Linked DNA regions of Sus scrofa. The protein of the gene in region 2 purifies or fractionates together with the protein of the main gene of each other region. This does not show direct contact. Links are inferred from orthologs where the notes say so. Each region holds a gene or a part of one and is shown on either strand. Other genes may lie near its edges.

Evidence for each region. Proteins that work in one complex are often made in the same cells at the same time.
Region 1: the proteins of AMHR2 (region 2) and CDC37 purify together in Homo sapiens (co-immunoprecipitation; 3 studies listed by BioGRID and IntAct, with this or other methods). This does not show direct contact. The link is inferred for Sus scrofa from reciprocal best matches to the Homo sapiens genes AMHR2 and CDC37.

The regions. Positions count from the first base shown.
Region 1 is NC_010444.4:69,202,909-69,206,423, reverse strand, and holds part of CDC37 (hsp90 co-chaperone Cdc37), read left to right. Parts: coding exon 1-32; intron 33-151; coding exon 152-267; intron 268-355; coding exon 356-478; intron 479-978; coding exon 979-1,161; intron 1,162-1,259; coding exon 1,260-1,331; intron 1,332-3,163; coding exon 3,164-3,319; 3' UTR 3,320-3,515. UniProt on the Homo sapiens protein: Co-chaperone that binds to numerous kinases and promotes their interaction with the Hsp90 complex, resulting in stabilization and promotion of their activity. Inhibits HSP90AA1 ATPase activity.
Region 2 is NC_010447.5:18,640,927-18,645,024, forward strand, and holds the start of AMHR2 (anti-Muellerian hormone type-2 receptor), read left to right. Parts: upstream 1-1,286; 5' UTR 1,287-2,030; coding exon 2,031-2,082; exon of another isoform or gene 2,083-2,285; coding exon of another isoform or gene 2,286-2,334; coding exon 2,335-2,577; intron 2,578-2,808; coding exon 2,809-3,000; intron 3,001-3,266; coding exon 3,267-3,344; intron 3,345-3,500; coding exon 3,501-3,631; intron 3,632-3,746; coding exon 3,747-3,977; intron 3,978-4,098. UniProt on the Homo sapiens protein: On ligand binding, forms a receptor complex consisting of two type II and two type I transmembrane serine/threonine kinases.

The sequences.
Region 1 (3,515 bases), on a different chromosome or scaffold from region 2:
GGAAAAGTATGAGAAACAGATCAAGCACTTTGGTGAGTTGGGCGCAAGGCCTCTCAGGGGGTTGGGGGAGGCCAGGTAGGTGGCGCCTGTGACAAGGGCTGGTCCTCTGCCTCCAGGGCCCTTCCAACACCTTGCCCATACCTTCTCACAGGCATGCTCCGCCGCTGGGACGACAGCCAGAAGTACTTGTCAGACAATGTCCACCTGGTGTGCGAGGAGACCGCCAACTACTTGGTCATCTGGTGCATTGACCTAGAGGTAGAGGAGGTGAGTGGAGCCCACCCCTCGGGCTGGGGGAAGGCTCTGCTCTCTGTCCGCTACTTGGTGACGTTGTGCCTGTTTTCTCCCTTGGCAGAAATGTGCACTCATGGAGCAGGTAGCCCACCAGACCATTGTCATGCAGTTCATCCTAGAGCTGGCCAAGAGCCTAAAGGTGGACCCCCGTGCCTGCTTCCGGCAGTTCTTCACGAAGATCAAGGTCAGGGCTTGAGTGATCAAGGCAAAGCAGGGGTGGTCCTTCTCAGGGAACCAGCCTGCAGTCACTTGGGGGAGGCAGACCTGGGTCCACTCAGACTCAAGCCCCTGTGATCAGAACCTCCTATATCAGAGTAGTTCCCGCTGTGGCTCAGCAGTTTGAGAACCAGATGCAGGGCAGTCTGACGGGGTGATCTAGAGCTCGGGGGTGGCTGTGTTGAATTTGAGATGCCTGCAAAACTCCCCACGGGAGGACACACAGGAGGTGGGTGTCATGAGTCTGCAGTTCAAGAGGCCATGCAAGTCTCCAGCATAGAGAAGTAAAGTGAGCTCAGAGAAGGTGGAGGAGGCCAGATGGAGCAGAGGAGAGGCCTGAGCCCCATGGTGCCCAACAGACATGGCGAGCCCCAGGGCATTTCTGAAGACCTGCAGGGGTCGTGGCGGGGGGGTGGATTCCAGGCTCCCCCAGTCCGGTCCCGTGAACACCCCTGCTCCCTGCTGCAGACAGCCGATCGGCAGTACATGGAGGGCTTCAACGACGAGCTGGAGGCCTTCAAAGACCGTGTGCGGGGCCGCGCCAAGCTGCGCATTGAGAAGGCCATGAAGGAGTATGAGGAGGAGGAACGCAAGAAGCGGCTCGGGCCTGGTGGCTTGGACCCTGTCGAGGTCTACGAGTCCCTCCCTGAGGTGCGGTCTCCCTGGCCCCTGGTGGTCGAGTGGGCGGCCAGTAGAATCCCCTGGGGTCCTGGGAACCCAGGCCATGACCCCATCCCCTGTACCCACAGGAACTCCAGAAATGCTTTGATGCGAAGGACGTTCAGATGCTCCAAGACGCCATCAGCAAGATGGACCCCACCGTGAGTAACTACAAGGGTGCTAGGCCCCGCCTGGGAAGCCGTGTCTCCCTGCCCCCCTCCAGCCCTGTCACCTCCTGGGCTTCTCAAAGAAATAATGGAAGTTTTTGTCCCTGTGAGGCCAGCACACGAGGTGGCCAGCACATGAGGCAGCCAACCTTAGTGCCACACACTCACATTTATTGAGCACCTGCTGTGTGCTCAGTGTCAAGATTGAGTGTCCCTGTCACCCTGGGATGTTTATGAACATACCCAACTGACCTCACCTTTACTCGCAACTCTAAGTGGCCCAGGGAGGAGGACTCCCCCCTCCCCCCGAGCCTCAGTTAAACCAGTTTCTCTCTCACAAAATCCCCAGGGGGCGCTGAGCCCCCAGCTGGTAAAGGTTGGCTCTTATCAGGAGCAGTAATAGCACTGGTTGCTCAAGTACTTGGAGTCTATTAGACCTCGGTTTGACCCCATTCCTGCTGCTTGGCTCATTGGTTGGCCACACTGGTTTGCTCATCTGTAAAATGGGTAAAAATCACAAGGCCTGGCCCAGGGTTTCTAGAAGTTTCTGTGGGAAAGAGCATCTAGATTAAAGGTCTTCAGACTATGGCTTGCAGGCCTGCTGCCCGTCTGTAAATAAAATTTTATTGGCATGCAGCAACCAAGCTCATTTCTTTTCATCTTCTCTCTGGCTGATTTTGTGCCGTTAACCATAAAGTTGAGGCGCTCTGGGTTGAGAGGTTTCAACAGAGACGACGTAGTTTGCAAGTTTACTGTCTGGCCCTCTGCCAAAAAAAAAGTTTGCTGACCTTTGTTCTAGACCTACACTGTTTAAATTTGAATTAAAATCGGAGTTGTGGCTCAGTGGGTTGAACCTGACTAGTATCCTTGAGGACACGGGTTCGATCCCTGGCCTCTATCAGTAGGTTCAGGATCCAGCATTGCTGCAAGCTGCAGCGTAGGCTGCATGTGTGGCTCTGATTCCATCCCTAGCCTGGGAACTTCCATATGCCGCGGGTACACATGGAGGACAAAAATGTAAAAAAAGACAATAAATAGGAGTTTCCATCATGGCTCAGCGGTTAACAAATCTGACTAGCATCCATGAGGACGCAGGATCAATCCCTGGCCTTGCTCAGTGGGTTAGGGATCCAGCGTTGCCGTGAGGTGTGGTGTAGGTCGCAGACATGGCTTGGATCCTGTGTTGCTGTGGCTGTGGTCTGGGCTGGCAGCTCCAGCTCCACTAGCCTGGAAACTTCCATATGCTGTGGTTGTGGCCCTAAAAAGCAAAAAAAAAAAAAAGACAATAAATAAATAAAATAAATGAACTTGAATTAAAGTTAAGTAAAATACAGGAGTTCCCAGTGTGGCTCAGTGGTTAACGAATCCGACTAGGAACCATGAGGTTGCGGGTTCAATCCCTGGCCTCGCTAAGTGGTTTAAGGATCTGGCGTTGCCTTGAACTGTGGTGTAGGTCACAGACGCAGCTCAGATCTGGCATTCCTGTGGCTGTGGTGTAGGCTGGCAGCTACAGCTCCAGTTAGACCCCTAGCCTGGGAACCTCCAAATGCCGCGGGTGCAGCCCTCCAAAGACTAAAAGACAAAAAAAAAAGTTAGGTAAAATACAAAGTTCTGTCCTCCCCTTGCATCAGCCACATTTGAAGTACTCGGTAGCCACGTGTGGCAGGAGGCTACGCTGTTGCAGGGCGCAACTCACAGACCAATTCCACGCCTGAGGACAGCTCTGATCTAGAATAAGCAGGAAGCAGGCTTGAGGATGTGCAGGGGACAGAGAGGCCACCAGTAGGTGGCAGCCCAGCCTCACCTACCCACCCTTCTCCCCACAGGACGCGAAGTACCACATGCAGCGCTGCATCGACTCCGGCCTCTGGGTCCCCAACTCCAAGTCTAGCGAGGCCAAGGAGGGGGAAGAGGCGGGTCCTGGGGACCCTTTGCTGGAAGCTGCCTCCAAGTCGGGTGACGAGAAAGATGTCAGCGCGTGACCTGCCCCAGGCACCGCCTGCCTGCCTGCAGGCCCCTGTGCAACCCTTTTCAGAAAACAAATAGATGCCATCTTCCCAGCTCCTGGCTTCCTCCACTTTTGCTGCTCCTTGACCTAGCCTGGAGGGACCTGCTCACCCCCTCCACTGCCCCCGCCCCCCAGCGCTCATCCAAGTCTCTGCTTTGAGTCAAGGGGCT
Region 2 (4,098 bases):
GAAGGAAAATAGCTGTAACTAAGGACGACATGCTACCTCTGGACTCCTCAAAGGGCCCAGGTAGGGATGGGCAGCTATCCGTCTGTCCATAGCTCCAATCATTCCTCTAGCTGCTACTTCACACTGTGGAGCTTTTATTCCCTCCTTCTTTCATGCAAGCCTCCCAAGAGAAAGGCTCCAGGGTCGAAGAGGACTCAGACTCTCATAACTGATCTAGGCCAGACCATTCCCAGAAAGGGTATCCAGGCAGCCACCAGGGGAACAGAAGCTAGGGAAACAGGGAACTGGTCTCCTCTGGCTCTAATTCCCATGGGAGCAGGCTGCTCCCAGGTGTGGAAATGACCAGTCACTGTAGTTTCTTATTCTGGGCAGTCGTCTGGAGGAGCTGGACTCCAGTCTTTCAATTGCAGCACAAGCTATAGACCTCTCTCCTTCCATCTCCATGCTGACATTCCCTCTACACATCCTGTGCCCTCCCTTCGCATTTTATAGTTCCTGCAGCTTGAGAGATATTGGAGATGTGCTATGGCCATTAGTCCTCAGAGGAGGCCCTTTCTGCCCCCTCAGTGTGTCTGCTGACCTCTGGTGGTGATAGTTTGAACTGTACCCTCTTACTCTTTTTCTGGTTAGTTCTGGCAGGTATTGGTACACTTTTTTCTCAATCCTTATTCAAATATTCAAATACTGTGTAAAATGGGAATACTTTTTCTTGCCAAATTTTGAGTTTCTTTCAAGCATCATGGCATGCGGCAAAGAACAGGACCTGGGCTTTAGAGTCAGACTTACTAGGGTCAAATCCTAGCTGTGCTGCTTCCTAGCAGTGACCTTGGGCAAGTTACCTAAACTCAGCCTTCTTGCCTATGAAGTGAAGATGATAATAAATAGCTCAATGAGCGAATTCGATGAGATTATTGTAAAATTCATTTCCCTGTGGTGCCCTAGCACATAGGTGTTCAATAAAATTTTGTTACTGGAGTTCCCGTGTGGCTCAGTGGGTTAAGTACCTGACGTTGTCACTGCAGTAGCCTGGGTTGTTTCTGTGGCTTGGGTTTGGTCCTGGCTGGCCCAGGAACTTCTCCCTGCTGTGGATGTGGCTAAAACAAATTTTTTTTTTTTTTTTTTTTTTTTTTTTTGCCATTTCTTGGGCCGCTCCCGCGGCATATGGAGGTTCCCAGGCTAGGGGTTGAATCAGAGCTGTAGCCGCTGGCCTACGCCAGAGCCACAGCAACGCAGGATCCAAGCTGCGTCTGCAACCTACACCACAGCTCACGGCAACGCCGGATCGTTAACCCACTGAGCAAGGGCAGGGACCGAACCCGCAACCTCATGGTTCCTAGTCGGATTTGTTAACCACTGCACCACAACGGGAACTCCTAAAAAAATTGTTGTTACCTTCTCAATAATGGTGATTTGTTTAGTGTGTGACTCAATGTCAGTTTTGGAAATTTGGCAACATAAAATTCACCATCATACCTATTTTCAATGTGACTTTTTAAAAACTCTGAGTAATTTTATACAACTGCTTTTCTGACTCTTGAGTTTGGAAAATGAGGTCAACTCTAGTGTGGGCCATTCTGTGCCCAGGGAACGGCAGATCTGAGCCCCAAAAAAAGGGCTAGACAAGCTCTTGGGCACAGCTGAATGGTTCCGAGCCCTTGACCTCACTTTGGTTTCCAGCCTAGGAAGGGCTGACAGGATCCAGCACTCTTTCCCAGGGTCAGCAAAGGGCCCAGGTTTGAAGTTAGGCACCACTGGGTTCTCAGCAGGGCCTCCAAGGCCCCCTCCTCCTGCTTTGCAGAGAAAAGCGGAGGTGGCTGAAGAGAGGAGGATATGAGATTGGTTCTCTGCTCCTCCCTCTCTCTCCCTGCTTTTCCCCACACCCATCCTCTCCCCCACAGAGACTGGGAAGAGGGAGGGGGGCGGAGTTGGGGACTGAGGGCTCGGAAGCCCCACGGTGCCCTGTGTCTGGAGGAAGCCCTGGCCAGGGGCAGCTGTGCTGGCTCTGGCTCTGTGCCTCTCACTGCTTCAGCATGATGCTGGGGACTCTGGGACTTTGGGCACTGCTTCCAGCAACAGTGCAAGGTAAGTGTCTACAGGGAGAGCAGGGTCTTTCCATCTACCCGCTGAGGAAGGAGGCATTTGAAGCAGCAGCCACCCCTTTGGAAGAGTGGTGAGTAGGGTGGGTGAGTGACGGTGAAGGGTACAGCCACGTGTCCCTGTGTATGTAGGGTGGGGGGGTCAGGTTCCAGGCTTCTGCGGACCCTGGGTCCTCCTGTGGCTTTACCATGCTGGCCCTGGGATATAAAACATGTTTTGTCTCTCCTTTGGATGCAGTTTTGGCCCCCGCATTCACTCCCATCTTGAACCCTCCCCTCTCCTTACCCTGGGTCGCAGCACCCCCAAGCAGGCGGACCTGTGTGTTCTTTGAGGCCCCTGGAGTGCGGGGAAGCACAAAGACTCTGGGGAAGCTGCTAGATGCAGGACCAGGGCCCCCCAGGGGTATCCGCTGCCTCTACAGCCACTGCTGCTTTGGGATCTGGAACCTGACCCAAGACCGGGCACAGGTGGAGATGCAAGGTGAATAACACAGCATGTGGCAGGTGGGAGAGAGGCACATCCTGGGTGGGGGTGGCTGCTGAGGAGAGGAGAGGTGGACTGTGTGGAGGGAAAGAAAAGCCCAGGAGGTAGAAGGGACGCCTCTGATAGAGAAGGGACACCCTCTGGTTTCCCAGACCCCATGATACTCTCTTGTGCGTGCTCTCTCTCTCCCTCCCTTTCTCTCCTCTTCTCCCAATCCCACCGCACTAGGATGCCGAGACAGTGATGAGCCAGGCTGTGAGTCCCCCCACTGTGACCCGAGCCCCCGAGCCCATCCCAGCCCCGTCTCCACTCTCTTCACTTGCTCCTGTGGCACTGACTTCTGCAATGCCAATTACAGCCATCTGCCTCCTCCAGGGAGCCCTGGGACTCCGGCTTCCCAGGGTCCCCAGGCTGTCCCAGGTAGCTACCCAGGGTGCTGGAGCCAGGTTGGGACTGAGGCCCAGGTTAGGATGAGAGGTAGAACCAGGGCCAATTCTCACCCTAACCCCGGCTCAAGCTTTCTTCCTCCTGGCCTTGAGAAGTTGGTTGCCCTGGTGACTGGGAGATAAGGGGGCTTGTGACCAGGGTGGGGGTGGGTAGAGAAGCAAGATCTCTGACGAGAGGGAGAGGAGCAGAGAGCATAATTTGGGGCAGGGCTCATCCCGCCTGCATTCTTGCTTTAACAGGCGAGTCCATCTGGATGGCACAGGTGCTGCTGGGGCTGTTCCTCTTCCTCCTGCTGCTGCTGAGCAGCATCATCGTGGGTACTAATCTGCCCACCCCTCCCTTGTGACCCCAAGACGTTGCCCCAGAGCTCTGACCCCTGTCCAGGCTCCCCTGACCCCTATTACTTCCCACAAAGCCCCCTTTCCAGTCTCTATCCCCAAGTACCCTGACCCTAAGGCTCTTCTCTGCCCCAGCCCTGCTACAACGTAAGGCCTGCCGAGTGCAAGGTGGGCCAGAGCCAGAACCAGAGCCAGAGCCAGAGCCAGACTCAGGCAGGAACTGGAGTGCCGAGCTGCCCGAGCTGCCCGAGCTCTGCTTCTCCCAGGTGCCCAGGGAGGGAGGGATCCTCTAGGCACTCCCGGAGGGCATACTGGGGAGGAAGCCTGGCCCGGTACTAGCTGAAACCTGGCGCCAGCATCGTGCGTGTGTGTCCGCATCAGGTTATCCGGGAAGGAGATCACACAGTGGTGTGGGCTGGGCAGCTGCAAGGCAAGCTGGTAGCCATCAAGGCCTTCCCCCTGAAGGCTGTGGCCCAGTTCCAAGCTGAGAGAGCACTGTACGAGCTGCCTGGCCTACAGCATGACCACATTGTCCGTTTCATCACCGCCAGCAGGGGCGGCCCTGGCCCCCTGCCCTGTGGGCCCCTGCTGGTACTGGAACTGCACCCCAAGGTGAGAACTGAGGAATGTATCCGTGTGTGTGTGTGTGTGTGTGTGTGTGTGTGTGCTGGATGACAGCTAGGTCCTGTGCATGCTTATTCTTCTGCTTTAAATTTCTTCTTCTCTGGAACAT